2 linked regions of the Ovis aries genome follow. The protein of the gene in region 2 binds, or shares a complex with, the protein of the main gene of each other region. Links are inferred from orthologs where the notes say so. Each region holds a gene or a part of one and is shown on either strand. Other genes may lie near its edges.

The links.
Region 1: TPRKB (region 2) and GON7 share a complex: the UniProt entries of both Homo sapiens proteins name them as parts of the EKC/KEOPS complex. The link is inferred for Ovis aries from reciprocal best matches to the Homo sapiens genes TPRKB and GON7.

Annotation. Positions count from the first base shown.
Region 1 is NC_056071.1:55,643,847-55,659,250, forward strand, and holds the start of GON7 (EKC/KEOPS complex subunit GON7), read right to left. Parts: upstream 7,896-15,404; 5' UTR 7,839-7,895; coding exon 7,631-7,838; intron 1,312-7,630; coding exon 1,220-1,311; 3' UTR 1-1,219. Other genes in the region: putative E3 ubiquitin-protein ligase UBR7, read left to right, coding at 8,093-8,242, 10,129-10,262, 10,856-10,916, 11,995-12,090, 13,260-13,313, 13,677-13,782. UniProt on the Homo sapiens protein: Component of the EKC/KEOPS complex that is required for the formation of a threonylcarbamoyl group on adenosine at position 37 (t(6)A37) in tRNAs that read codons beginning with adenine.
Region 2 is NC_056056.1:95,591,847-95,607,091, forward strand, and holds TPRKB (EKC/KEOPS complex subunit TPRKB), read right to left. Parts: upstream 10,610-15,245; 5' UTR 10,472-10,609; exon of another isoform or gene 9,877-10,471; intron 8,372-9,876; exon of another isoform or gene 8,369-8,371; 5' UTR 8,350-8,368; coding exon 8,209-8,349; exon of another isoform or gene 7,127-8,208; coding exon 7,004-7,126; exon of another isoform or gene 5,679-7,003; coding exon 5,502-5,678; exon of another isoform or gene 4,989-5,501; coding exon 4,902-4,988; 3' UTR 4,669-4,901; downstream 1-4,668. UniProt on the Homo sapiens protein: Component of the EKC/KEOPS complex that is required for the formation of a threonylcarbamoyl group on adenosine at position 37 (t(6)A37) in tRNAs that read codons beginning with adenine.

The sequences.
Region 1 (15,404 bases), on a different chromosome or scaffold from region 2:
TTCAATTCATCTCTGAGTAAATCATATAATCTATAAGATTACTTCCAACTCTAAAATTCTGTGACTGTGTTTCAATAGCTACCTGTTACTTGATTTGATTCCCTGTAGTTTAGCCATCAAAATGAATCAGGAAACATTTATATGTATAGTAAATGAAAAATATCTTAGTCCCTCTGACAAGCAGAAAAGGAATACATACACATACACATTTTAGGAATATATACATATATGTATTTAAAGGATCTGATAGTTCCTTGTTAAGCAAAATCAAAGTCTGACTACAGAATGACATGAAATATCTTAAGTTACAGTCAACACAGGTTGCTTACCTAAAGACTTATACCTGTGTTAACATAAACAGCATATCACCAGCATAAAAGCACACCCCAATTTGACTCTCTTAAGGTACAAGTTAAAACATCTATCTGTTGAGTGGTATCATCTCCAGAAGTCTGTATATTGAGTTCAGGTGTGGATTCAAGATTTTCTTGGGTCTCTCTCAAGGGCTCTCCTTCCCTTCAATATTTCTCACTATTCCCATTTTCCTTCTACGTACATGGAATTGCCATTCTTAAATTTAAATTAACTAATAAATTTATTTGGCCGCACCAGGTCTTAGTTGTGGCATGTGCAGAATCTTCAGTCTTCATTTCGTCATGCTGGGTCTTTAGTTGTGGCATGCAAACTCTAGCTGCAGCGTGCAGGATCTAGTTCCCCGACCAGGGAAGGAACCTAGGCCCCCTGCATTGGGAATGCAGAGTCTTAGCCACTTGACTACCAAGGAAGCACCTGCCATTTTTAAATTTAACACCTCATTTTCATCACTTGCTCATGTCAGTTCCTTGAAATGTTATTGTCCATAAACCTTGACATGTATTTTCATAACAGAAGCAGAAGCTAAAACATGTGGACACCACACAATTTAACCCAATGGGTATTTAAAAAGTATAAAGTAAGAATTCAGTTGCCAACTTACTGGATATCACACATTATTAAATGTCTAATTTCCATGATCTGAAACTGACTTCTCACCCAAGAAAAGGGATTCATTTCTATGCATTTATGTCTTTCTTTGATGAACACAGAAAAGCTTCCTCTTTGACAAAACTGTCCCAGGGCAAAAAACAAACGCTTTCCAAATTAGAGCACAAGTTCCTTAAATGTCAGTGTGTGGTACAATAAAATATGGTAGCAGTCTTTTAAATTTCATAAAAGCTAGTTAAGATGGTTTTTGCCGTTTTGCAGATGGTCCATCTGAATTAGTTCTGTTATCAGTGTTATTTTCATCTTCTGAATCATCTTCATCATCACCTTTTAAAACAAATATTTGTTGTATGACAATATGTTCAGTCATTGAAAGAAATATAGATAGCTAAAATGGTTGATAATTAGACCATTTCACTTCAGGGATTAATAAAACAATGCACATATCAAATCAGCAATATGTACAGTTAAAAAGACTGCAGGAATTATGATGCTTAAAACCTTTCCCATCTATCATTTTTCTTGGGAGATATAATTCATACACCATAAAATTCATTTTCAAAGTGTACAGATTATTGATTTAGATAGTCACTAGGTTATAAAACCATCACCACTAACTCTAGAATACATTTTATCTTCCAAGAAAGAAATCTCATACCAATTAGCAGTCACTTCCCCTTCCTGGGTCGGGAAGATCTGCTGAAGAAGGGTTAGGCTACCCACTCCAGTATTCCTGGGATTTCCTTGTGGCTCTGTTGGTAAAGAATCCACGTGCATTGCGGGAGACCTGGGTTCGATCCCTGGGTTGGGAAGATCCCCTGGAGAAGGGAAAGGGTACCCACTCCAGTATTCTGGCTTGGAGAATCCCATGGACTGTATAGTCCATGTGGTCCCCAAGAGTCAGACACAACTGAGTGACTTTCACTTTCACTTCCCATTCCCCTTAGCCCGTGGCGACCACTAATCTACTTTCCTCATTTAACTTATATGCAGAGTGTATCATGGGAAATGCTGGGCTGGATGAAGCATAAACTGGAATCAAGACTGCCAGGAGAAATATCAATGACCTCAGATATGCAGATGACACCACCCTTATAGCAGAAAGAGAAGAGGAACTAAAGAGCCTCTTGATGAAAGTGAAATAGGAGAGTGAAAAAGCTGGCTTAAAACTCAACATTCAAAAAATGAAGATCATGGCATCCAGTCCCATCACTCCATGACAAATAGATGAGGAAACAATGGAAAGTGAGACTTTAATTTCTTGGGCTCCAAAATCACTGCAGATGGTGACTTCAGCCATGAAATTAAAAGATGCTTGTTCCTTGGAAGGAAAGCTATGACAAACCTAGACAGCATATTAAAAAGCAGAGACATCACTTTGACAACAAAAGTCTATATAGTCAAAGCGATGGTTTTTTCAGTAGTCATGTATGGATATAAGAGTTATAAAGAAGGCTGAGTGTCAAAGAATTGATGCTTTTCAACTGTGGTGTTGGAGAAGACTCTTGAGAGTCCCTTGGCCTGCAAGGATATGAAACCAGTCAATCCTAAAGGAAATCAACCCTGAATATTCACTGGAAGGACTGATGCTAGGCTCCAATACTCTGGCCACCTGATGTGAAGAGCTGCTTCACTGGAAAAGACCCTGATGCTGGGAAAGATCGAGTGGAGGAGGAGAAGGGGACAACAGAGGATGAGATGGTTGGATGGCATCATTGACTCAATGGACATGAGTCTGACAAAACTCCAGGAGTTGGTGATGGACAGGGAGGCCTGGTGTGCTTTGGTCCAAGGAGTCGCAAAGAGTTGGACATGACTGAGCGACTGAACAACAACAAAAGTCTATTTTCTTACCCCTCAGTTTTGTCTGTTCTGGACATTTCATATAAATGAATCAAAATATATGGCCTTTTGTGTCTGCCTTCTTTCACTTATGCTTTCAAAGTTCATTTACATTGTATAGCATTTAACAGTACTTCATTCCCTTTTGTTGCTGAGGAATATTCTACCATATGGATACACATTTTGCATATCCACTCATAAGATGATGGATATTTGTGTTATTTCTACTTTTTAGCTATTATCAATAATGCAGCTATGAACACATGTGCATTTGTTTTTATGGGAACATGTTTCCAGCTGTCTTGGGAGAACTTGGAGTAGAACTTTAGGACTAGAACTGTTGGGTCGAATGATAATTTTACACTTAACTTTTCTGAGAACTACTGAAGTGTTTTCCAAAGAAGACACCCCATTTTACGTTTCCACCAGCAACGTATGAGGGCTCCAATTTCTTCACATCCTAGTCAAAATACATGTTACTGTTCTTTACAATTATAGCCTTCTTGGTGGGTATGACACGCTATGTCATTGTGGCTTTGATTTGCCTTTCTCTAAAAGCCAGTGATGTTCAGCATCTTTTCATGTGCTTACTGGCCATTTGTGTATCTTATTTGGTCAAGTTTTCCGCACGCCTGGCAACTGGATTGTCTTTTTTGGTCATTATGATGATTTTTTTTTTCAACTGAAGTATAACTGACCAACAACACTGTTAGTACCAGGTTTATAACACCATGACTCAGTATTCCTATACAGAAAAAATGATCACCATTTGTCATTTTAGTATTGCATTCTATCACTTTTGTAATATTTACATTTAAAAATTTTTTTACTTGTTAATTGATATGATTCATATAAGATGAAATTCATCATTTTAATTGCTATCATTTTTTTTTTTCTGGGCTGCACCACAGGGCACGAGGGATCTTAGTTCCCCAATCAGGGATCAAACCTGTGCTTCCCGCAGTGGAAGCATATAGTCTTATCAGTGGAGCGCCAGTGAAGTCCCTCTACCATTTCAACAAAGAAAATTCAAACTGAAACTCCTTGGGGACTTGATTAAACATACAAAAGCATGTCCTTATATATGAAGCTATTAATGACCCATTATTAGCAGAAAAAGTAGAAGTTATTTTTCCAGCAAGCCATTTTTTAAATGGCTCCATCTGTACCTGTCCTTATTCCAATGATAGTATTTTCAACGGTTTAGAGAGGATCTTTTGGAGCCAAGAACCAGGACTTCATGCTGATGGAAACAATCTACTGTCTGAAATTCACATAATATTCTGAGTTGGTTCTATCATATTATCTGGCACTATCAAGATGTAAACAAGATGGAAAGAAAAGGAAAGTACAGTACAGTTTAAGCTCCTCTACAGAGGAGTTACACCTTCATGATCACAGCCTTGTCATGGTGAAGGGGCTTGTGTTATTCAATGAAGCTGCAAGCCATGCTGCGCAGTGCCACCCAAGATGGATGCGTCATAGTGAAGAATTCTGATAAAACATGGTCCACTGGAGAAGGAAATGCCAATCCACTCCAGTATTCTTGCCTAGAGAACCCCATGGACAACATGAAAAGGCAAAAAGATGACGCTAGAAGATGAGCCCCCAGGTTGGAAGGTGTCCAATATGCTACTGGGGAAGAGCAGAGGGCAATTACTAATAACCCCAGAAAAATGAAGCAGCTGGGGTAAAGCAGGAATGATGCTCAGTCATGGATGTGTCTGGTGGTGAAAGTAAAGTCTGATGTTGTAAAGAACAATATTGCATAGAAACCAAGAATGTTTGGAAGGTAAACTGGACACAGTCAAGAAGGAAATGATAGGAGTGAACATCAACATCTTAGGAATCAGTGAACTAAGATGGACAGGAATGGGCGAATTTAATTCAGATAACCATTGTATCTACTACAGTGGTCAAGAATCCTTTGGAAAGAAATGAAGTAGCCCTCATGGTCAACAAAAGAGTCTGAAATACAGTACTTGGGTGCAATCTCAAAAACGAAAGAATGATCTCGGTTCGTTTCCAAGGCAAACCAGTCAACATCACGGTAATCCAAGTCGATGTCTCAACCACTGATGCTGAAGAAACTAAAGTTAACTGGTTGTATGAAGACCTACAACTTCTAGAACTAATACCAAAAATGATGTCCTTTTCATCATAGGGGACTGGAATGCAAAAGCAGGAAGTCAAGAGATACCTGGAGAAACAGGTAAGTTTGGCCTTGGAGTACAAAAATGAAGCAGGGCAAAGGTTAAGAGTATTGTCAAGAGAACACGCTGGTCGTAGCAAACGCCTTTTTCCAATGACCCAAGAGACGCCTCTACACATGGACATCACTATCTGGTCAATACTGAAATCAGACTGATTATGTTCTTTGCAACTTAAGATGGAGAAGTTCCACATAGTCATGATCTGGAGCTGACTGTGGCTCATATCATGAACTCCTTATTATAAAATTCATGTTTAAATGGAAGAAAGTAGGGGAAAATCACTAGGCCATTCAAGTATGACCTAAATAAAATCCCTTATGATTATACAGTGGAGGTGACAAATAGATTCAGGGAATTAGATTTGCAGACAGAGTGCCTGAAGAACTATGGATGGAGGTTTGTAACACTGTGCAGTAGGCAGTGACCAAAACCAATCCAAAGTAAAAGAAATGCAAGAAGGTAAATTGGTTGTCCAAGGAGGCTTTACAAAGAGCTGAGGAAAGAAGAGAGGTGAAAAGCAAGGGAGAAAGAGAAAGATATACCCTTCTGAATGCAGAGTTCCAAAGAATATTAAGGAGAGATAAGAAGGCCTTCTTAATGAACAATGCAAAGAAACAGAAAATAATAGAATGGGAAAGACAGATCTCTTCAAGAAAATTGGAGACACCAAGGGAACATTTCATGCAAAGACAGGCATGATAAAAGGACAGAAATGGTAAGGACCTAACAGAAGCAGAAGAAATTAAGAGGTGGCAAGACTACACAGAAGAACTATACAAGAAGTCTTAATGACACGGATAACCACAATGGTGTGGTCACTCACCTAGAGCTGGATATCCTGGAGTCTGAAGTCAAGTGGACCTTAGGACTATGAACAAACCTAATGGAGGTGATAGAACTCCAGCTGAGCTATTTAGAATCTTAAAAGATGATGCTGTTTGATATGTCAGCAAATTTGGAAAACTCAGCAGCGGCCAGAGGACTGGAAAAGGTCAGTTTTTATTCCAATCCCCAAACCGTATGCAGGTCAAGAAACAACAGTTAGAACCAGGCAGGAAACAACAAACTTGTTCAAAATTGGGAAAGGAGTACATCAAAGCTGTATATTGTCACTCTGCTTATTCCAAGCTGGATGAAGCACAAGCTGGAATCAAGAGTGCCAGGAGAAGTATCAAAAACATCAGATACACAGATAATACCACCTTAATGGCAGAAAGTGAAGAGCAACTAAAGAACCTCTTGATGAAGCTGAAAGAGGAGAGTGAAGAAGCTGGCTTAAAACTCAACATTCAAAGACAAAGAAGATGGCACCCGGTCCCATCACTTCATGACAAATAGAAGGGGAAAAAGTGGAAGCAGTGACAGATTTTATTTTCTTGGGCTCCAAAATCACTGCAGACAGTGACTGTAGCCACGAAATTAAAAGACACTTGATCCTTGGAAGGAAAGCTATGACAAACCTAGACAGTGTATTAAAAGCAGAGACATCACTCTGACGACAAAGGTCTGTATAGTCAAAGCTATGGTTTTTTCAGTAGTCATGTACAGATGTGAGAGTTGGTCCATAAAGAAGGCTGAGTGCTGAAGAATTGATGCTTTTGAACTGTGGTACTGGAGAAGACTCTTGAGGGTCCCTTGGAAGGCAAGGAGATGAAATGTTAATCCTAAAGGAAATCAACCCTGAATATTCATTGGGTGGACTGATGCTGAAGCTGAAGCTCCAATAATTTGGCCATCTGAGGCAAAGAGCTGACTCACTGGAAAAGACTGATGCTAGGAAAGATTGAGGGCAGATGGAGAAGGGGGAGACAAAGGATGAGATGGCTGGATGGCACTGCAGTTTAAATGTACCTGAATTTGAGCAAGCTCTGGGAGACAGAGAAGGACAGAGGAGCCTGGTGTGCTACAGTCCATGGAGTTGCAGAGTTGGACACAACTGAGCGACTGAACCTCAACAACAACAATAGGGGAAGTAAGCCCTGATTCCAATATTTAGTTCTTAGGTTCTTCAGCTCAGGGTATTCAAGACAAGACTTAAGAATACAGTTAAAATTTCCATTTCTGCTTTCAAACTGCACCTACCACACTGGGAAATGAAAGGAGTCCCTGACAGTGAAGCCTTGTTCATCTGAAATCTATTCCAATCTTCAGAACCTGTTTCTATTCTGTAATAGATGGCGGTCTTCCAAACATATTTGTAAGTTCACGCCTGGGAAAATTCCTTTCCATCCTTCTAAGCCCAGCTTAGAAGTCATGCTCTTTCTGAAGCCTTCTTGGGTTCTCTAGGTTTGCAATAGTTACAAAGAAGCCTAGGGTCATTCCTTCTACTCTTTAATAAGAATGTTTGTCTGTCTAACCTCCCACAGAGTTCCACAAGAACAGGAACTGAGTCGCATTCACGTCATTCTTTCTCCAGAGTTCAGCCCAGTGACTGGCACAGGGCCGTAGGCGTTCAGTACGTTTTTTGTGTGACATAAATGAAAAGAGAATCGTCAAAAGCAGTCCTGCTAAACGAGTCCAGGTACAGCCCAAATTTCTCCGGGCGCCCCTGCCCGCCCTCCTGTCACTCGCTGAACCGTCTCAAAGCTCACCGTCCAAGGCCTCGTCGGGAGCCGCCGTCCCCCGGTCCTGTGCTTCCGGCTGTACCTGAGAGCCGAAGAGCTCAGTCACCAGCTCCCTCATCTGAGCCACACCGGACAACAAGCTCTGGAAAGGGTCGGTGACGCCCGGCGCCTCACAAGGCACCCGCAGCTGCTGTCGCTGCCCTTCCAGTCCGACGTACTCGCCCAACAGCTCCATAGCGACCGCTACGCTTCAGGAGCGCGCCACAGTGAGTCGCCACCGGAAACGGAAACCAGCCCGCCGCGGGCGCAGGCGCGGAGAAGGGAGAGGCCTGACTTCCGTTTGTCGGAAGTCGCTCCTCCCCCTTCCTTCGCTCCCTGTCTTTGGGATTGGTGTCTGGCACCGAGGCCCCGCCTCCTCCGGCCCCGCCCCTCGCGGACGCTTTTCCCGCCTCCGCCGGGGCCGGTCGGCGGTCCTGGTGACAGTTGAGGATGGCTGGAGCTGAGGAGCCAGCTGGGCGACAGTCGGAGTTGGAGCCCGTGGTATCGTTGGTCGATGTACTGGAGGAGGACGAGGAGCTGGAGAATGAGGCTTGCGCCGTCCTGGGCGGCAGTGACTCGGAGAAGTGCTCCTACTCGCAGGTGGGCGCGCGGCTCGGCCCTCGCCTCCGCTGAACCTCCCTTTCCCCACCGCCTTACCCTCTCTCTTCCCGCCGGCCGCGGCCGGCCCCCTGTGGTGGTCCAGCGCAGCTGTTGGTCGTAGGCTTCCCCATCCCAGGCCCAGGTGCCCTTTTACACTTAGTCTTCTGAGCCCCTTCTAACCTGTGGCCAGCAGGACGCCCCTCCTTTCTCGATTTTCCTCTGTCAGGCCCCCGACGTTTCTACGGTTTTGGCCCCAGAGCAGCTGCTCTTTCCTTCCTTCCTCGTCTCTTCTCTGTGCCCCGGCCGCTTTTCACCAAACCAACCCCGTGACCTTTCACATCCTGAGTATCTTTGTCCATACTTTTCCCATCCTCAGAGTATTTGCTGGGTACTAAACGGAAGAGTCAAATAATTAAAGGAGAGAGCTCTGGGTTTGAAAATCTCTCCGCGTAGGCTGGACTCCTGGACAGCTGGTTCCTCTGCAGTTTAGTTTGACAGGTGCTAGCTGGTTTTTTTTTTTGGCGAGAGGAAGCAAGTACCACGTCTCTCTGCAGTCGGCCCTCCAGGGGCATAGACCGGAACCCGAACAGCTGGTGGCACTGGCAAAGGAAAGGAGGGGAGGAGAGATGGCATTCGGAAGATGGTGGGAACAAGGACTGGAGGGGGTGTGACGTAGTGTTTGGTGACTCATTCTATGTTTCTAGGTTCAAAAATGGAGAAAGGTGGTAGAAGAAAACTAATGAGAGATGGTACTTGATAGGAAGAAGGTTATCTTCCAGGCAGGTGGAGTGGAACATTGCAGGATGGGGAGAGAGACATGGGGTCTTTACGTGGTGTTGCTTGAGATCACAATACCAGTTGTTATCAATGACCAGTTGAGTTTACACTGCAAAGTGGTTAGATTTTTTTTTTTTTAATACACCTGGCTTCAGAGGTATTTAATGTTGGCTGATATTTTAAAACCTTTGGTCGCCACTGGAACAACTTTTTCTCTGTTTGCCTTTTTTAAAAAAGCCTGTAAGTTATTTTTGAAACGTAGTTAGATTTTTAAAACAGACTTCCTTAAAAAATTTTTTTGTATTGTTGTAAAATATGTGGAAAAGTGCAGAAACCATGTATAAGTCTTGGGAAAGCAAAACTGAAAACACCTGCAGGTACATACCACACAGATCAAGAAATAGAACATTACCAGCATCACAGAAGCTTTCCTGGGACTCCCTTCTTCTCAGAAGATGGCAGCCATTATCAGGATTTGCTTTTCTCTCGACTTTTTATTTTGAAATGTTTAAAGTCTACAGTTAAAATGAAAAAATAATATTATGAACACCTGTGTACCTTCACATATATTCACTTTTTAATATTTTACCACATTTGTTTTATCTTTTACTTCTTCACTGTAATATACTTTGTTTTTGTTTCCTGAACCAGTTGAAAATAAATTTCAGACCATGACACTTCAACTCTAAATATGTCAGCATACATCTTAAAATCAAAGGGATTCATTTAATGCACTGGTTTTCTCTTTGGTGGAATCACAAGCATTTTCCAAAATTAAAGTATGATTATTCCTTACATAAGCTTACACACATTCTCCTGTATTTTCATGTGTTAAAATAGTTAAGCAGACCGGTTTATTCACAGCTGACTAAAAATGTTAACTTCTATCACTTTGAGAAAAAGTTATATGAAACGTGTATGAAACCTGCAACAGTGTTTTGGTATTCTATTGTATATGCTTTTTTATTAGTCTCAGTGGCTTTTACAGGAAGATCTTGACCCCAGATCATCTGATTTCAGTTATTTCTCAGATCATAGTGTGGGCATTAGGTTGCTCTGCCAGTGTTTCATCAGTTTCCGGTCTTTTTCCATTTTGGGGCTGTCTTTAGGGTTCAGTAAAGAGACAAGCACTGTATGCCTGCAGTACCTGCACTCCAGAGGGAGAAGAACCGGCAGGAATTTGCCTGGCTTGCAGTTACGAATGTCATGGAAGTCATAAACTATTTGAGCTGTACACGAAAAGGTAAACTGGTCAGAGATTGATGCTGGATGCTTTTCAAATGTTTAGATTCTTTTCCAGTTGCACTTTTTTTCTTAATCATGTTTTTGCATTCAAAGTAGTTGTGCCCTGGTAAAATTTAATGCAACTGTTTTATATAATGTAATCGGAAAGAACAGTTTTTCCAGGGGACCTTTTAAAATATAATTATGAGGCAAACTCAGACTACTCCTGCTATCCTTCCACTGTTTTATGTGTGTGTGTGAGATACAGATATTTGTCTTTATGCATGTTAATTTCTTGGAGAAGGAAATGGCAATCCACTCCAGTATTCTTATCTGGAGAATTCCATGGACAGGGGAGCCTGGTGGGCTACGGTCCGTGGGATCACAAAGAGTCAGACATGACTGGGCACACAGCACACACATGTTAATTTATAGAATTATTAAATCTTTTATTGTAATATGCTTGGGAAAATTGCGGATTGGATACATGAACAACAACCAAGTCCAATTTTTAGATCCTAGAAGCTAATTGAAAGGGAAGAGGCTATGATATGAATGTAGTCTTTAGACTTAGAAGAAAAATTAAAATTGGCTCTTCCTCCTTTCTTTCAGAAATTTTCGTTGTGATTGTGGAAACAGCAAGTTTAAAAATTTGGAATGCAAATTGTTTCCTGTAAGTAACCACAGTAAACGATAAATGCATAGAAAGTAGCTAAGATTTGTATTTGTCCTAGGGGATAAAACCAAGAATTTTCAAAAAGGAAGTTCTATGCTTCTTTGCCAATGGGCAAATCAATGTTAGACTGTACCCCAGTTTTTTATTTGTTGGAAAGCTAAGTAACCTGTTCAGAGCCTACCTATAGATTGTAATTAATATGAAAGGTTTTGGGGGTAGTGTTCTAAAGTGATTCAGGTTCAGTTGTGTTGATTGTGCTCATGCTCTAAGGCTTTTTAAAGAAAAGGGTATGACTTTTAAAACAATAAATAAAACTGGGCAATAATGAGCATGGGCTTTTGCAAAAGTTTTTCACTGCTTTTTGGATAATAAAGACTATCTTCTACAATAACTTAAGTGAAATACCAAAAATGAAACAGAAAATAAGGGACTTTACAGTGTGTGAAGTCGCTCAGTCGTATCCGACTCTTTGTGACCCCATGGACTGTAGGCTTCTCCGTCCATGGGATTTTCCAGGCAAGAATACTGGAGTGGGATGCCATTTCCTTCTCCAGAGGATCTTACCCACACAGGGATTGAACCTGGGTCTCCCGCATTGTAAGCAGATGCTTTACCGTCTGAGCCACCAGGGAGGTCACTTTACAGTATTCAGTCCTAATTGCTAAAGTTGTCATGCTCTTTCCCTCCTTCAAAGATTATTTTTAGATAACTTCTTTGCCTACTTTTCAGCTCCTAGTAATTTGGGGGCTTTGACTATCATAGCTGGGCATTAAGAAATATTTTGAAATTCTAGACCAGTGTCAGCTTCCATAGGTTGATAGTTAATATTTATGATTCATTCTCCCCCGATTGGTACAAAGAAGGTATAGAAAATAAATTTTATTTTTCCCTTGTATCCTGGAGAAAGTATTACTTATAAAGTAATAAATTTTTTCCTTTGTACTTTGAAGACTAGCTTCCAGGGGAGGGAGGGGGTACAGATATTTAGTGCACAAATTTATTGAATGCATAAATTCCATGATGCATGAAATTATAAAGTTAGGCCATGTTTTATATTGAAATTAATATCTTTCAGGACAAAGCAAAAATAAATTCTGGCAATAAGTACAATGACAACTTTTTTGGATTGTACTGCATTTGCAAGAGACCTTACCCTGATCCTGAAGATGAGGTAAGAGATTTGGAGGTCAGCACCAGGACTGTGTCATCTCCAGCCTTCACTTCCCAGCCTCTTGTCATATTTGGCCCTTTAGCTGTTCAGCAGGGATTTGGGGATTGTGAAAGTATTCTAGATTTATCCCTTCTTATGACTCTGACCTGAAGCTACAAGTAGTACAGAGCCCAACTATTTTTCTCTTTCTTACATCATGAGAAATTCTGGACAGGACTTTATCAAGGCCAGAACTTTTTTCCTTCTCCCCTCTCTTTGCCTGTTTGCTCCTTTTCTCTGAATAATTTCCAGAAAATGACCTTCAACTTCTCGCATTCCTGCAGGGAAAGAAAATAGGGTGCACAAACTGGATTCTCTTGAAAACTTCAATTAGAGGTGTATGCAAAATTTTAAAAGAATTGTTGTTCTTCCTCATTCCTGTACCTTCTTACCTCCCAGACATAACCACTGTTAACACTTTTGGTGTATATATTTTTAGACCTTTTTCTGTGCACATATAAGTGAGTGAATGTGTGCTTTAATTTCTAGTTTCCTTTTCTTTTGACAAAGGCAAAATTCTGTAATTCACTGTGCAACTTGCTACGATTCATATTACCTCCCTGGGTTTATGTGTGAAATGAAAATATACTACTTATTCATAAAGTTTTGTGGGAATCAGATAGTAAGTAACTGATATGAAAGTTTTGATAATTACTCACAAAGTGCTTATCTCAGTGTAATCCTTTTATAACCCCAGTTCATGGGGAAAGAACTTCTTTGACCCTTTGAATTGCTGTTTCTCCCTGTCTCCTTGACTTTTTGCATGTGGTTAGTGACCCACTCCAGTGTTCTTGCCTGGAGAATCCCAGGGATGGTGGAGCCTGGTGGGCTGCTGTCTGTGGGGTCGCACAGAGTTGGACACGACTGAAGTGACTTAGCAGCAACAGCAGTGGCCTTACAGAATTGGTAGAGAATTATTTAATATCTGATTCTAATGTGTGCCAGATTTACTTTGAAATTCCAGAGTTCATTGTCAGTCAGTTCAGTCGCTAAGTCATGTCTGACTCTTTGCAACCCCATGGACTTCAGTACAGCGGGCTTCCCTGGAGAAGGGAATGGCTGTGTTCTCGTCTTGAGAACCCCATGAATTCACTGTAACCATTAACAAACAAATTGCTTTTCTATGTTAGATTCCAGATGAGATGATCCAGTGTATAGTCTGTGAAGACTGGTTCCATGGAAGGGTAAGGAGAGCTTTGACCTTTTAAACCCATTGTCTTTACAAAAAAGAAAAGATCTTGTCTTTTTTTTTTTTTTTTTTTTGGCTGAGTCTGATCTTAGTTGTGGCATATGGAATCTAGTTTCCTAATCAGGGACTGAACTGAAGCCCTTGGCATTGGAAACACAGAGTCTTAGCCACTGGGTCACCAGGGAAGTCCCAAAAAGATCTTGTCTTTTGGAATTAAATTATATTTCACATTATCACTGCTCTTCTAAAAAATACTACAGATATGATCAATGTACTGTTGCAATATTTTATAAAATAATGAACTTTTTGGACAACTTGGTGATCACAAGGAAAATAACTTGGTTTTCTGTGTTCACAGCATCTTGGCGCCATTCCTCCTGAGAGTGGGGATTTCCAAGAGATGGTGTGCCAGGCTTGTATGAAGCGCTGTTCTTTCTTGTGGGCTTATGCTGCACAGCTGGCAGGTAAGAGTCTCTGTGGAGTTGGCATGCCTCCAACCTGGGCCACAATACAAATCAGTACAATTTGTTCAGTATCTAAGTTTTAGCTACTATGTTTTTCACTGTGTACTTTTACTTTATTTTATGGGGGGAATGGCTAACAAACAATGCTGTGATAGTTTCAGGTAAACAGCAAAGGGACTCAGCCATGCATATACATGTGTCCATTCTTCCCCAAACTCTCCTCCCATCCAGGCTGCCACATAACGTTGGACAGAGTTCCATTTTTAAGAGACTCTGTGGTGTAGAAAAAAGTACAAGATCTGTTCCTTCTCCACAAGGTGCTTATAGATAGATTGGGAGACTGCCAAGAACCAATTTGTACTTTAATGGCATGATGCAGAATATGGATGAGACCAGAACTGGAGAAAATGGAGAAAGCAGTTTTTAAGGGGATTTTGGAAGATAACAGAACCCAAACAAGTTGTTCTTAAATATAAAACATGCTATTGGTCGAGGAGGAGGTGGTGACAGTTTGTCATCTAATGCTTTTACTATACTTAAGAAATTGACCCCAAACCACTAATTAGTAATGAATGTTCTTAAGTATGAAATATTTTCAGTTCAGTTCAGTCGCTCAGTCGTGTCCGACTCTTTGCGACCCCATGAATTGCAGCACGCCAGGCCTCCCTGTCCATCACCAACTCCCGGAGTTCACCCAGACTCAGGTCCATCGAGTCGTGATGCCATCCAGCCATCTCATCCTCGGTTGTCCCCTTCTCCTCCTGCCCCCAATCCCTGCCAGCATCAGAGTCTTTTCCAGTGAGTCAACTCTTCACATGAGGTGGCCAAAGTACTGAAATACTTTATTTTACTCTTAATGTTATATGTGTTCATTTTTTAAATGGTAGTAATTCATAGTATCTGTTCTGGCCTCATAATTTCTTGCCCTTCTCACCTTTAGCGAACACTTCACCATACAAACCTCGAGCAGCATCCTATGTTTTTGTTTTGTCTCCAAGTTCTTATGCTTGGTGTGTCCTCTTTCTGTTCATATGCTTTGTATGTGTGTTTTTTAAAAAAATATATTTATTTTTAATTGAAGGATAATTACTTTATAATTACCGTGTTGGTTTCTACCATACATCAGCACAAATCAACCTGTTCATATCCTTTTCAATTACGTCTCACTTTCGGCTGGACCTGAATCTTTTTCTCATTCACTGGATTTTCTTAACCCTTCCCCTCTGCCCCTTCTTCATTTCCTTCCCTGTCAGCAGATGGCCTCATTTCCTAATAAACTGAAAAGCCATCCTCCAGTGTGAGTTCCCTTGTCATTTCTCTGCTCTCTGTCATTTCTGTCTCTGCAAGCGTCCTTTCTAATTTCCTCCTTGCATAAAGAAACCTGTTGTTTTTGCAAAACTACCCTTCTCCTGTGTTTGCAGCTAAATCTCTTCCTATTGCCTCTTGCTTCTTTGGTGTCCCTGGGTCTTTAACATCTATAGTATTTTCCTTTCTCATTTACATATAAAATGTTTAAGGTAGTGATTGATATATTTTTTTAGCTCTTTTTTCCAGATGGTTTTTTTTTTTTCTGTTCTTGGTTCACATTTTGTTTTTTACTAGAGTGTAATTACTTGACAATG
Region 2 (15,245 bases):
TTCACAAGCATGCAGAAAGAAATGTCTTGAATGGTTACACCAAACATTGGCAGCATTTATCTCTGGATAGAGGAATTATGGGTAATTCTCTGTGTAAGAGATACAAGTTGGAAGTCTCAGCAGATTACAGGTTCTTGACCCTGCTTTCAACTGATGAAACTGAGGCTTGAGAATCTACCTGTCTCTGCCTCAGCCAACTCCTTTTTAAAAAAAATTTATTGAATGACAGTTGATTTATAGTGTGTTAATTGCTGCTGCATAGCAAAGTGACTCAGTTATATATATACATTCTTTTTCATATTCTGCATTATGGTTTATCACAGGATATTGAATATAGTTCCCTGTACTATACAGCAGGACCTTGTTTATCCATTCTGTGTATAATAATTTGCATCTGCTAATTCCAAATTCCCACTCCCTCCCTCTCCCACACAGCAACCACAAGTCTGATTCTGCTTCTGTCCTGTGGACGAGTTCACTGTGTCCTCTTTTAGATTCCACATACAAGCGGTCTTGTATGGTATTTGTATCTGTCCTTCTCTGTCTTCACTTGGCATGATGTTCCCTAGGTCCATTTACACTGCTGCACATGAACTTCAGCCAACTCTTGAGAGTCAGTCTAAACAGACCCATCGAAGATTGTGAATTCCTGAAGGAAAGGCAGGTTTGTTATTCTCTTATTTTTAATTAACCATTCAAATTTGTACAACTCAGTGGCTCTTAGTACATTCAGAATGTTGTATAATCACCACTTCTGTCTTGTTCTGAAGCATTTTCATCACCCCAAAATGAAACCCCTTAGTCAGTCACTCCATTTCCACCTCTTGCACCCCTGGCAACCACTAGCCTGCTGTCTCTTTGGATTTACCTATTCTGGATGTTTCATTTAAATGGAATCACACAATATATGAACTTTTATGTTTGCTTTCTTTCACTTTGGTTCTCAAAGTTCACCTGTCCTAGCAGGTATCAGTACTTCATTGCTTTTTATGGCTGAAAATGTTCCATGGAAAGGACAGACCGCATTTGTTTACCCAGCCAACCTGCTGTCCTAAGTGTTACTTGCCCACCCGCAGTGAGTCTTGTTTTACTTCATGCCTCAGTATTATGCCTGGCACATGCAGACAGCTGCTATTTGCGGAGATATTAGATGCCTGGCACTGTGAGAAAGCACTTTTCCTGTGCTGTACTATTTGACATTCACAACCATCTAAGAGCTAAGGCTCATATTGCTTCCATTTTACAAATGTGAAACCGAGGCTTACAAACCTGAGAGATCCTACCCAGGAGAGTGGCACCCAAGCCTTGGCAGTTTTGACTCGAAGGCCTGAACATTTTGCTTTTTCAGTACCACGTGCTGACCCCAAAAGGCAGGTATCTGACAAGTGTTTGAGTTATTAATTAGTATAAAGCACTGTATGCCAACAAAAACAGCTGTCTGCTGGGATGCAAGATTCACCTCTAAGCCTCATCATGCCCCTATGTTCAGGTCATACTTGACCCAGATCCAGTATGTGACTAAGGCTCAGGTCCAGTTCAGTGCTACCTCCTCCATCAAGATTTCTGACTCCTGACAACCAGATGGATCTTGTATCTGCTCCCTCCCTTTGAAGACTTTGCACTTCTCATCCAGCACTTACATTGCTGTTAATTTGTTACTTGCTAAAAACTGTTAACTTATTAACAGTTAAACAGTTACTAGTAACCTGATAGATTATTTTATTTTTCTATTATCTGTAGGAACCTGATTATAATAGGTAGTTATCTTTTTGAAATCACTGTTATTCCGAGAGTTGTGGGACTTGAGGGCAGCATGTCAATGAAATCCCATGCTTGCATTTATGAAAAACACTTGCCTCTTAGACCAGCTAAGCCCAGAAATGGGTCAATGAAATGGAAGTTAGACAATCAAGTGGTGTCATGTTTTGGAGTCTCAGAAAGAGGAGGAAAATGTCCTGGAAAGAACATCATCTCCCCTGATCTCTCATCAGGGTTCCCAGTAAGCCAGCCTCAGGTCAGTGCCCTGGATGCCACTGAGCACTCATAACATGAGTGAGAGGAAGTAACAGCAAATTGTTTCAAGAGGAAAGAAAGTGGTCCGATAGGTCACTCCTTGGCAAGATGTTCAGAAATACTGGAACAATGATTCCAGCTCTATAGAAATACTTCTAAACTTTTAGCAAAAGGGAGGTGTTATCAGGCCCCAACGCTCAAACTAGGATAACCCAAGCTCATTTTATACAGATCACCAAAGGGCCTAATTATGAAGGTGTGGGTGGGTAAAGGGGAGCCAGGTATGTTAATGCTCAAGAGGCCTGAAGTGAGGCAGGAGGGTGGGGGGACAGGAACCTGAACCAGAAGTTGAGTAGCAAGGACCACCCTGAGAGGTCCAAGGCCAAAGCCAGCCTAGGGATCCTTGCAGCGAGGAGCCAGGAAAATAAATACCTTTGGCCTCATTCTCCTGCTGGCCTCCCCACTCCACACACTGGCCGAAGCCAAGGGAAAGGGAGGACCTCTTGCTGTGTACACGGTAAGTCAGCCTCCAGGGCAGAGAGAAGAGTGGAGAAGGATGAAGAGTGAGCTGGAGGGAACAATGGCAGATAACTGGCACAGAGGATTATGAAAACAGTACAAACTTGGCTCATTCTGAGACCAATCACCTAGAGAGTTGTGCTCTACTCAGTTTTGTAACACGGAGTGCAGATAGCACAGCAGTCAGCAAAACAAAACCGGGTGCAGAGAAGCAGCCGCAACCCTAGCACAGGTTCCAGGTTTCCAGACAAGCAGAAAGGTCGTCAAAGGAAAAAGCGAAAAGGAGAACTGCAGCAGGTGGCCTGAAAAAGCCTGTGAGCCCCAGGGCTCCTTCTAAAAAGGAGGCGCAGTGCTTAGGAGCATTCTTGTAGTTTTCCCGAGCGTGAGGTGGGGAGAGGGGCAGGGGATTAAAGATTCTGCCACTACAGTGGCAGCTTTCCTTGCTCCCAGGACTGGGGAGATGGGGAGCAACGACTGCCTGGGTGACAGAGCCCCCTTCCCTCACATTATCCTAGCGACAGCTGGCTGTTTGCCTTAGTATCCCTTGTTAACCCTGTAACCCTTGACCAAGGAGCCAGATGAGGGCAGCCAGGCAAACTGCATCCCTTCTCTTCCAGCATCAAAGGCCCTATAATCACTGGTTGCTTTTGCTGGGGGAGTGTTTAGGCTCTGAAGCAAACTGGTTAATTTAAGAAGAAAGAGAACATTATTCCTAAATTGGCCCAACATTTTTAAGAAAAAAAGCTTGTGGACCTTATGTAAACTTTTTTCCCAGGAAATGGCATTACTTCTTTTTCCTTCTTCACCCAAAGGCTCATAGAGTTTAAAAAAAAATCTATATAGTTACAGGTATAAATCCTTTCAAAACTCTTGATAACAAATAAACATAGTTCAGCTTCACCAGTAGTCTGACATTTTGAAATGGTGAAAATGTTGAGAAGTTTAAAGGCACTGTTGGTGAGTCTGCTGAGATTGGCACACTTATGCACTGCTATTACAACTGCGAAGTGGCACTTTTCTGGTATTAAAAATTCATGTCCTCTTCCCCAGTAATTGCACTGCAGGGAAGCTATCCTACAGAAAAAGATGTGTACAGAGATTTGCTTGCAAAAGCAAAATGAAAAATTGAAAGCAGTGCTAATATATAAAAATAGAACTACATTATGTGAAGTTTCACTTTTACAAAGAACATGTTCGATAGTTACGGCTGTGTGGAGTCGTTAGGAGCATCGAATTGGGTCACGTGGAGTTTTAATCCTGGCTACAGGCACTTTGAGCTGTAGGGCAGCTTTGGCTTCTCCCTAGGCTTCAGGAGAAAAGATGCCTCCATAATGGAGAAGTCTGGGGTACCACCTTAACAGAGCGACCAAACTGTACCACCAGTGACGAGGCCAAGTGACGGTATGTGCCTCCCAGTGATGTAAAACTGGAAGGACACAAAGTCTACGTATCATTCTCCAAAATATTTAAACTGATTCAAATCACGAACAAACTCATTCCGAAATTCTGAAAGACATCTGGGGCACTCCTCAAAAAATGTCAACATCACCTTTAAAAAAAAAATTGTTCTAGATTAAAGGAGCCTTTAAAAGAGACATGACTGTTGATATAAGACAGAAACCAACAAAATTCTGTAAAGCAATTCTCCTTCAGTTAGAAAATAATTGAGAGAGACATGACAACTAAATACAACAGAGGGTGAAGTGCCCCAAGGTCTGCAATTTACTTTCAAGTATTTCAGAAAAGAAGTGTTTGCCCATGCATAGACAAGACTAAGAACAAGCAAAGTTAGCAAAACATTAACATACAGCCTGTAACCTACTCTATCTTGACTGACACAACCATATTTTAAGATAAAATATGAAAAAAAAAACAAACCATTTATAAAACATGATTTTTAGCTGTACGACCTTGCGCACATTATTATTTGTACAACCTTTTAACGGGAGTAATCTACTTCATATGATGTTGTGATAATTAAATGAATTCTTGCATACAAAAACTTGGAACCAGGAAGCTTGGAACGGGTGATGCTGGAGTAGCCAGAATTAAGTGCAAGAGTATGAGCTGATGGATATAAAGTCATTTAGATAAGAACCTCGTATATTGTAGACATTCAATAAATGTTTGCAATTATTCCAATTATATAAAAATAAAATATATTTGGACAGAAACAGAAGACAATAACAACAATCACCGTGATTATCTTTTAAAATATGAAAAGGTAGGACCAGGAGTGGTTTTTTTTCCCTTTGTTACTATTCTGTGTTTTAAAACTTTATACAACACAACATAACAGATTTTATGATCTAGGAAAAACAATGAATGTTTTTTATAAAAGCTGAAAAATTTTTAATATTTCTGTCATTTCACAAAACATCTTTCGTTGACATTCTACAAATGATACCATCCAATAATGTTCCAATACTTTCTTCTTGTGAAGATAGTTTATATACCTATAAGCATAAAAGACAGATTATGACATGCTGACATATTCATGCACTACTAATTTTCATTATACAAAAATGTATATGTGACCTAATTTATTACTCAATTATTGGGATAATAGGATGGAATCACAATGTGATTAAGGTATGCAAAGTAAACAGCAACTCATCACTTATGTCAAAAGTTTCAACTGCAGTTATAGTGATAACTCTCTAAACATCAAAACATTTGTACCAATTTTAAAAGCACACATCTAGACATTAACTTCATACTATATTTTATATTTCAAATGTAAGCTTGATATCTAAAGTTATCCTTTTTAAAAGAATATCTTTACCAACTAAGTTTCTAATTATATCTTACATAAATCTGCATTTCTTTGCATGTCTTATCATTTTTCAAGTAATTTTTAACTATATTAACCTTTCTTAAAAGTGAAAACAATATAGAAGCATTGGTGATAAGGAAACAGTATTATTCCACATCTATCATGCTCTTTCTAAAAATACAGGTGTACAAACCTTTTTGACTTCTGTAATATTTGTTATTTCAGGGAGATTTTCCAGGGGAACCTGGTGACCTTCTACCTGAGATATTAGGTGTTCTTGATTTATTTGTTTTTCACCCTCCTCAATATAAGCAATCAGAATTGAAGTATCATTTGCTGAGATACCAAATTTTTTCAAGGCCTCTGAAATCTAAGGGGTGAAAAAGACAATAAAATCAGTAGCTCAACATGTGAAACCTCTCCCCATTTGCAGCCTTTCCTGGTCAGATTCTTATTTTTCATAGCCTAGTGGTTCTCTCTGCCTACAGTTTCGCAGTGTCCCTCCCTCATCTCTACCACCCCTGCCTCTAGAGTACTCCCCGCTCGAAGCTGCACCTCATTCCCACAGAATCCAGCCTGGACTTAACTGGATGGACCCAGTGACTCGGCACGCGCTCCTGCCCTCCAGCCAGCGGGGCTGTCTGGGCTCCCGTCCTTTCCTACTTTTCTCGCCTGTGCCTGCACTTTGTCCTCTACCTGGGCTGCCAGCATCTTTCAAGGGTCCAGTTCAAAGGTCACTCCTTTAGCACTTTCCTCCTTTATAGCATGAATTGCTTCTCTGTTCCCACAGATTTGCATTATTATTCCACTATATCAATTATCTTAGGACGTTTGAACCTTGTCTTGTTCATCTTCCTTGCTTGGGAACACTTCTGACCCCAGACTGGAACAGGGGCAAGCTTAACACATGCTTATGAACTGCAGTCTCCTGAGTTATTTCAGTGATCTCAAAGAGACAATCACCCAGTAATTTTCCCCAAGATACTGGGGAATCCCATTACTACCCATTTTATAAATTTTTCAAACATCTGCATTTTAAACCATGCCACACGTTTCCTAATCTTTCTCTCCATGTCAGTACTTGACTGTGTTTAGTAGTTAGTACTTAGTGAGTTCAATCGCTCAGTCGTGTCCAACTCTTTGTGACCCCATGAGTAATAATTAAACTTCGTCAGCAAAATTAGTTGGTTTTTTAAAAAATAAGCCCAGGTGGAATGTTTTTAACTCAAAAACTTTGATTACTATCAATCTCTCAAACACAAACTCTTCCTATGTACTGCATGTATGAGCATGTGTTAAGAGCTAGTCTAGGTATCCGGCAGATTTCTGGTCTATGGAAAAGGCATGGTTCTATCCTCAAAGAGTTTATAGGGAGAATAAAAGATGTGCATGGTAACACACAAATACCCATGCCTAATTTTTATCATGAGATTTAAATAGCATTTTCCTAACTCTGTATGTCAGGAAGGACAAATAAAACTATCCTCAATTACTTTAGCTAAATTTCATGAGTGACTCCAACGCTTACTTGTCTCGTAGGCGGCAATGCTAAACCTCAACTCTGTCCAGCACTCACTCTTCACTGTTATTTTGGTTTGTTACCAGCAACAGGCTCCAACCCAACACTGAGTCACACACAGGCTACCATGACAAGATCAAAAGATATAAATAAAGTATACATTCCATATTAATTACATTGTTATTTGGGGAAAGATTGAAAATAACTTCAGTAGATAGAGTTCTTGTCTTCATTTTCCCCAGTTTGTAGAGGTGAACTGCTTTGTTTGCGGCCACAATTATCTGAAATGGATCGACAATCTACCAAAGAGAACAGGAAGAATTACACACAAAGAATCTGGAGCACTCTGAAGAACAATGCCCTGTACCCTCGAGTATCAGGCTGTTTTACTTCATCACAATTTCTATATTTTCAAAATTGTCAAAATCTTAAGGGCCTAGGTGTTTAGAAAAATCACAGAATTCTACAGCTGCAGGCAATTAAGATACAAAGAGTTTTAAAACAACTTATTGAGGACTATTATTATGGGAAAGGCCATATTCTCAACATTTAAACTTTATTTTCTATTCTACTCAAACCTACCCTATTTGATATCTTTTATTATTTTTCATGTGCAATAAATGAGGAAACCAAGGCAAAGAATGGGTTGGAATTTCAGTTCTGCCACTTACCACCAAGGGAACCTGGGCAAATTCCTTAGCATTTTATCTTTTAGAAGCAGATAATCATCTCACTACTTCATAGAGTTGTTGTGAAGATTAAGTGAGTTAGCAGTAATATAAAGAACTTACCAAATAAGCACTGAATAAAGGCTACCACATGCTCAAAGTCATAATAAATGGCATAACTGGGACTTAAGTCCTGGTGATTCTACCACTGTGCAATGCCTCCTTTACAGAGGCTTTCTAGGTCACACAAGATGGGTATCTAGGCATCTGCCATCATATCAGAGGGAAACCACCTTTCACGTCAGGACGGGGCTCAGCACTTGGCTTCTGCTGCTGCTAAGTCATGTCCGACTCTGTGTGACCCCACAGATGGCAGCCCACCAGGCTCCCCCGTCCCTGGGATTCTCCAGGCAAGAACACTGGAGTGGGTTGCCATTTTTAAAGTGAAAGTGAAGTCGCTCATTCCTGTCTGACCCTCAGTGACCCCATGGACTGGAGCCTTCCAGACTCCTCCGTCCATGGGATTTTCCAGGCAAGAGTACTGGAGTGGGGTGCCATTGCCTTCTCCCACTTGGTTTCTATTCACTGTTAAACTGAAGGCTGGCCAAATCTGAATCCACTCTACAGGTTAGACAAGTCCTTTTACATGAAGATAACAATTTTGGGCTAACCCATAACATCATGAAAAATCACTCATTGCCATGAGTACTTACCACTGTAGGATTTATTAATGAGCCATCAATGGCACCTTCCATGGCCTTTTTTCTCAAGCCTGCAGCATTTTTTACATCTTTAAATAACAGAAGGGTCACCCTGTATTCAGGAAATAGGTCCAGCTGATGTGTTAACTGCATTTCATAGATAAGCAGGATGCTACTGCACAAGACCAAAAGACCAAAAGTTAACAACTGTAAGTCACTAACAAATATCCTTGCTCACAATTAAAGTATTACAACTTTAATAGTAAGATGTAGAACTGTTAAACTTGAAAAATCCACCCCAAAACATCTGGCAGCCTGATGACAGACTGTCTTCCTAACCCTGCTAAGCTGTTCTAGCTTCCTTCCTGGGAAACGATCAAGGGCAACACCAGGTCCCCTAGTTGTACAGAAAAGGCAGGCTCTGGATGAGGGGGAGATTCTCAACAACTAGGAGCAGGGCACCAAACACTTTTTAGACCACAGGGTACTTACAGCATTAAGGAAACCTCACTCCAACTTAGTCTTTTTAGCTTTCTAATCTCACCATTTTATTTATATTTTGACAGAATCTAGACATAAATATAAGGCAGAAAACAATCTTATAGAAGAAAGTATGACACAACTCAGATATTCATTACATACATGGGAATTTAAGCCTAGAGGGTACAATTCTTAAATAGTAACACCCTTTATAGACATAAATTTAACAAGAAAAGGACAGGGTATATACAAAAACATAAAAGCAGCATAAACAACAAATAACTGGAGAGACATAATCTATCTTTGAATGAAAATACTAAGCACTGCAAAAATATAATCTTTAAAACAATTTCAATTAAAGTCTCAGAGATATTTAGATGAAGCAATTTTATATAGGGTCACTTTATCCTTTTATCTAGGAGGTTTTATTTCCACCGTTTTTCTGAAGGAATAAATTGGCAATCTGAAGATTTATGTAATAAGATGTTTTTATCATCCTGAGTAAAAGGTTGAAAACCTACCTAACTAGTAACAGGCCCAACTACAGTGGCTTTACTGACCAACCACTAAAAACTGTAGTCTTGAAGAGTAGCTAAGGATGTGTAAATATAGTAATAAATAACATTAAGTACTTAACATCTGATTGGAAAATAAAACAAAATGTTCATAATATGTGGGTTTTTTAAAATGGACACAAAAAGAAAACTACTGGAAAAAACAACAAAATATTATCTTTGACTTGCTGGAATTACATCTGATTTTTTCTGTTACAATCTGGAAAAATAAAATTGTGAATAGTGTCTTGGCACAGCAGGGCCACACAATCTTTATTATCATGATAATATCCAATGGAAAAAATATATATACATAAAATGTATACCCAATTCTACCAAAAAAAAAAAAAAATTGATTCAGAAAACAAAAACAAAGGAAGCACACCAAAATACGGCCATCTTGGGTAGCAGAATTACAGACAATTTTGTTTTCTAGAAAAAATATTTTTGCATGTTCTGAATTTTCTACAGTGAGCACACAAAAGATAATGAGTACATACAACCAGGGAGGAAACAATTTTTTTGTGTTTTTTGTTTTTACAGTAGGGGGAAAAGGGGGCCTATCAAATGTCAAAAATGGTTTTGGTTTGTTTTATATAATTCACTCACTTAGGTCAGAAACTTCGAACCATCGCTGGATACTTACCTTCCACTCAAATCCCATATCTTATGCAAAACTCTTGTCAATTTTTAAGTATCATCTTGAAGGGTCCAATTCTCTCCCATACCTACTCTGCCACTGCCGTTGGCCACCTTCTCTCCTCAACAGCGGTGACCTCCTAGAAGTCGCCTCACAATTCCTTCCCTCCTATCATCCAACTTCCACCCGGGAGTCAAAGTGATCTTTTCAAAACGTACACCAAATCCTGCCCTGCTATCAAGTCCCTTTATGTCACGGAGTCCCAGACTATGATCTGAGACCTTCCTCCCTCTTCCGCTTCCTAGCGCAGCCCTGCAGACAGCGCTCATTTCCCCTCAGCCGCACTGGCCCTTCCAGCTTGTCACCACCCCCAGTCCCTACCCAGCACGCCCCCTCGGACAGGCGGTTACTCTGAATTAATCCTCCCTCCCTTCGACTGGCCAGTAAGAGCCCATTTGCCGGCGCCCCCAGGACTAGTCTCCTATTCTCCGAGCTCCTCTGTTACAACTTTGGTGAGTCTGAGGCTCATCAGAATGCTGTATCGTCCGCCCTCGAAGGGAGGCTGAGCCGATCACTGCCGGGCTGCATCCCAGGACCCGACCTTAGCAAACGCTCGATAAACGAGGGCGCCGAAAATCACAGGTATCATCTGGAAAATCACTGGTCTCCAGTCCCCGCCCGCCCCGGCCAGCGATGTGGCGCCAGGTACTCACCGTCGCGTCCCCGTCCGTCTCGTAAGATCTTCCCCACGGAAACAAAGCGCTCAACTTCCGGGAGATCTGCCGCAGCTGCGTTCCTTCCTCGCCCTACCCGACCCTGCAGTGTCATTTCAGGTCGGGGTCGGAGGGAGGTTCTCAGCTACCTCCTTACACAGAGTGTTTCGCCGGCGTGAGTCGCGTCCGCTGACCCGAAGGGGAGCAGGGGCTCGGTGCGCCACTTCCTATGAGAGTGGCGGCAAGGCTCCTCCGACCGGGCCGGAAGCTTGAGTGCGGGTCTTGGCCGCGTCCTTAAGCCGCTTGGCCTTGAACGAGACATCCTGTTTCATCCTATGCGAAGAAAATTAATGGTTCCGATGAGCTCTACATATGTCTCCGCTGCTCGAGATTCTACAGTTCTTTTTCGAGGCAAGCAGGACTCAGTTTTTTCTTGTTCTGGACGAGGTCCAGTTGGCCAGGATCTCCTGGAGCCGAAAGCGCTCGGCGATCTGCCTAGGGTATTTGAGAGAGGTGTCAGTACAACCTCTTCCCCCAGCAGGCTCCCGTTTGCCATCCCTGAGTGTATCAGCCTCCGAAAGAGGAGGTCATCCGCTAAATGGGTGTTTTTCTTCCATGTTATTCTAATATGTTATTCTTCCATGTTTTTTATGCTTGGGGGCTCATCTAGGTCAATACTTTTCTTTAAACAAAAAGGTAAATAATAAATAGGATAGATATGTGCTATGGAGAAAAAAAACTAGAGAATAGGGGGTAATGTCAGGCCGTGAGTATTACCGTTTAAAATAGGATGGTTAAGAAAGATCTCACCAAAAAGGGCCATTTGTGACTGGGGGAGGTTTGGAGGCAGGTTCTGTGTGTATCTGAAGAGCAGCAATTCCAGAGAGAACAGAGAGAGTTAAAAGACTCAGAACAGATATGGCCTCATTTAAGAAAGAGCAAAGAGAACCGTGTGGCTTGAGCCCAGTGGGAATATATATGAAATTATTCTGAGGAAAGACTGGTATCCAGATTATATAACCAACTCCAATTCGAAAATAGTAAGAGACACAACCTGATTAAGGATAGATGGCACAATTGAACACATTTTAGGAAAGATACATGAAAGGCCAATAAAAACATGAAAAGATGCTCATCATTAGTCATCAGGGAAATAGACACAAATTAAAAACATAATGAGTTATTACTACATACCCATAAGAATGCTAAAATTTGAAAGACCTTAAAATTTTTAAATATCAAGTGTTGTCAAACATCCAGAACTGGAACCTTCACATATTGCTAGTCGGAGTATAAAATAAAAATAGTGTAACCACTTTGGAAAAGAGTTTGGCAGTTTCTTAAAAAATTAAATGCATGGCCCCAGTGTTAAAGAATCCACCTGCCAGTGCAGGGATGCAAGACTGCTGGTCTGATCCCTGGGTCAGGAGAATCCCCTGGAGGAGGGCATGGCAACCCACTCCAGTGTTCTTGCCTAGAGAATCCCATGGACAGAGGAGCTGGGCAGGCTACAGTCTATGGGGTTAAAAAGAGTCAGACACGGTTGAAACAACTGAGCACACTCCCTTGCACGTGCGTACTTAACCATTCGCAGCAGTTCCACTCCTTGATATTTAACCAGGAGCAGTGACAACATGTCCACCCACAGGCTTGAACATAAATGTTCATAGCAACTCTACTCATGATGGCCCCAAACTGGGAACAACCCAGTGCCCAATAATACATGAATGGATAAACAAATCATGGTAAATTCATGTCATGAAATACTATTCAGTAATAAAAGGAATGAACATACTTGCAACATGAATCAATCAAAAACATGCTCAGCAAAAAAAGCAAAGTAAAATTGTTACTGTATGTTTCCATTTCTACAAAACTATAGGGATTGCAAATATAGCAAATTTATTCTAGAGTGAAAGCAAATTAGTGGTTGTTAGGGACGGGGAAGTGGGAGACACTGGGAAAAAAAAAAAAAACCAAGAGAACATTTGTGATGAAGCCAATGTTCTATGTCCTGATGTCATGTTAATTACAAGGGAACCTGCATTAAAATGCATCAAATTATGTCATTTTAGAAAGTACATTTTGTAAAATTTCTCAGTAAAGTTGATTTAAAAAGACAAAGTTGTCCAGTTCAAAGTGACTTGTCTGTGATCACCAAAAGCTAGAAACAACCCAAACCCTTGTTAAGTGAATAAACAAACTGTATATCCATACAATGGAACACAACTTGGCAGTTAAAAGGAAATCAACTATTGCTACATACAATAACATTGACAAATTTCAAAATTATGCTGAAAAAAAGTCAGACATAAAAATAGTGTATCCTGTGATTCCATCATTTACATAGAACAGATCCTACTGTATAGCACAAAAAACTGTATTCAATATTCTGTGATAAACCCATAATGGAAAAGAATATTAAAAGGAATAGAATATATATTCAGTATATATGTATAGCTGATTCACTTTGCTGTACAGCAGAAACTAACACAACATTGTAAGTCAACCATACTTTAATAAAAAAAAAAGTTTAAATAAAACGGAAAGTAAATTTGCTGAATTGCTTCATAAGGAAATAGAAAAATGCCTTGTGTCAGGCTGTTGAAAATGTTCTCTCTTGAACATAACCTCTAGCAGATGGAAAGAGGGCTCTTTAATGTTTCCATTTTCTTTGATGTTATTAATATTCCCTTATAATCTGTGTATGTGGTCACAGTTGGTCTCTTGAAGTAGTTCTACTTTACCCCCGATTTCTGAAGTCATTAATGTCAATATAGTAGCAACCACTACCACCTACCTGTGGAGAAGGAAATGGCAACCCACTTCAGTATTCTTGCCTGGGAAATCCCATGGACAGAGGCGCCTTTGGTAGGCTATGGTCCATGGGGTCGCAAAGAGTCAGACATGACTTAGTGACTAAATAACAATTCTACTGGGGGTATATAAGAATAGAGTGGTGAGGGTGAGGAACAGGCTTCACAGGGAGCCAAAAAGACAGGTTGTTTGGTGTATGTGTTCACTCAGCAGGTTGGTTCTTCTCTGGAAGGCTTGGTAGGAAAAGCCATTCCACAAGCATTCCACACAAGGGAGAATGGAGGGGGAATTCACCTGCCAGGCTCCCTTCTCTCTTCTGCATTTCATTATTTAAGGCTCCTCACATGGGAGTCAGCTGCTCTACTTCTGTGCATCATCTCACCCTCCCATGGCAGCTTATAAAGCCAGAGCTCGTGGCCTGACGCGCAGCATTTCCTCCAACTCCAAAGTGGAGGGATGGCTGATAGAGAGGGCTTCACAGGGGGGCTGTAAGGGCCATGCAGGCCCAGAGTTTAACCTGGGCTCCAGTCAGCTTAGGGAGTGCTAGGTTTGCCTGCAAAGGCAAAACTGGGGAGCATGGGCCAGGTGGCAGATGGCACTTTCAGGAAGGAGGAGGAGACCTTTCTTGGAATCTGTATTTCACATAACAGGATATAAATGAAATAAATGCTAAATAGTCCTACAAAGTAACTTGTAGCTACAGGAGTAATTCAGTAGGTGGGTAAGGTTGGGAGAGATGGCTTTACTGAGGAGATGGGGCTTTGAGAATGATTTGCCCATAGAGGCTTCAGGAGAGCTGTTATAGCCAAGAAACAATCTGAAAGACAGAGACACCGTGGCATAAATGTGTATGTGCTCAAGAACTGCTGGCACAGTGAAGAATGGAGTGGAGCATGGCAGAGGCTTTGAAAAGTCAGCTGGGAGTCAGCTCACACAAGGTCTTGCCAAGGAGTCGGAAATGGATTCTCAAGGCCATAAGCCACTCAAAATTTCCAAGAGTGGGATAACATTCATGAGTTTGTTTTAGGATATAATTCTGGGGCAGCTGTTAGAATTACACTAGAAAGGTGGTTCAAAGAGGATTCTAGGTAGGGCTTTCTCCATAGTAGGAGTGTCTGTAGTTGACTGTATGGGTCCAGATCATGACTTAAGGCACTGAGTGGCCTACAATTCTGGAATGTAATGCCTAAAAATCAAGCTTACCAGACTGATGTTAAATCCAAAACTCATTTAATTGACAAAGTCTCATTATACTGTGCCAGGAACCAGCGTGAGGAACTTGGCCTGTGGCAAAGTTCATGAGGAGGGAGGCTCGGCATACGCAAAGGAGGGATTGAGCCTCAGGAGACCTCCTGTTCCCAAACATCTACCCCCCAAACCAGAGTCTGCCTACTTTACTGTTTTATGCTCTCACCTACATCTCTGACTTTACGGGGGCTGTCCCCCACCACCTCTCTCGGAGAAGGAGTCAACTTGCAGCTCCAGTCAATAAAAATTCCTGGGCGTGACAAGAATGTTTCAACTTACAAACTCCTCTGAAGTTTCTCTAGCCTGCCTGAACAGGTTCGTCCGGCCACATGTGATTGTTTACAGCCTCCCAACCGTGAGAGGCACGAGATACTTTAAACTTTCTAAATACAGATTCTTTTGAGAAGTTAGAAATTATTAGTATAGTGGGTTGGTTAGAAATTATACTGGTGAAGGGTTTTCATTTGTTGGGCCAATATTTGCTGCTAAGTCTCCATATTCCTTGCCCTTATACACATTAATGAATATAACTAGCATATAAGAGAAATAAGTATTAACCTTTGATATTAATCATGTTAAACCTTCAGTTCAGTTCAG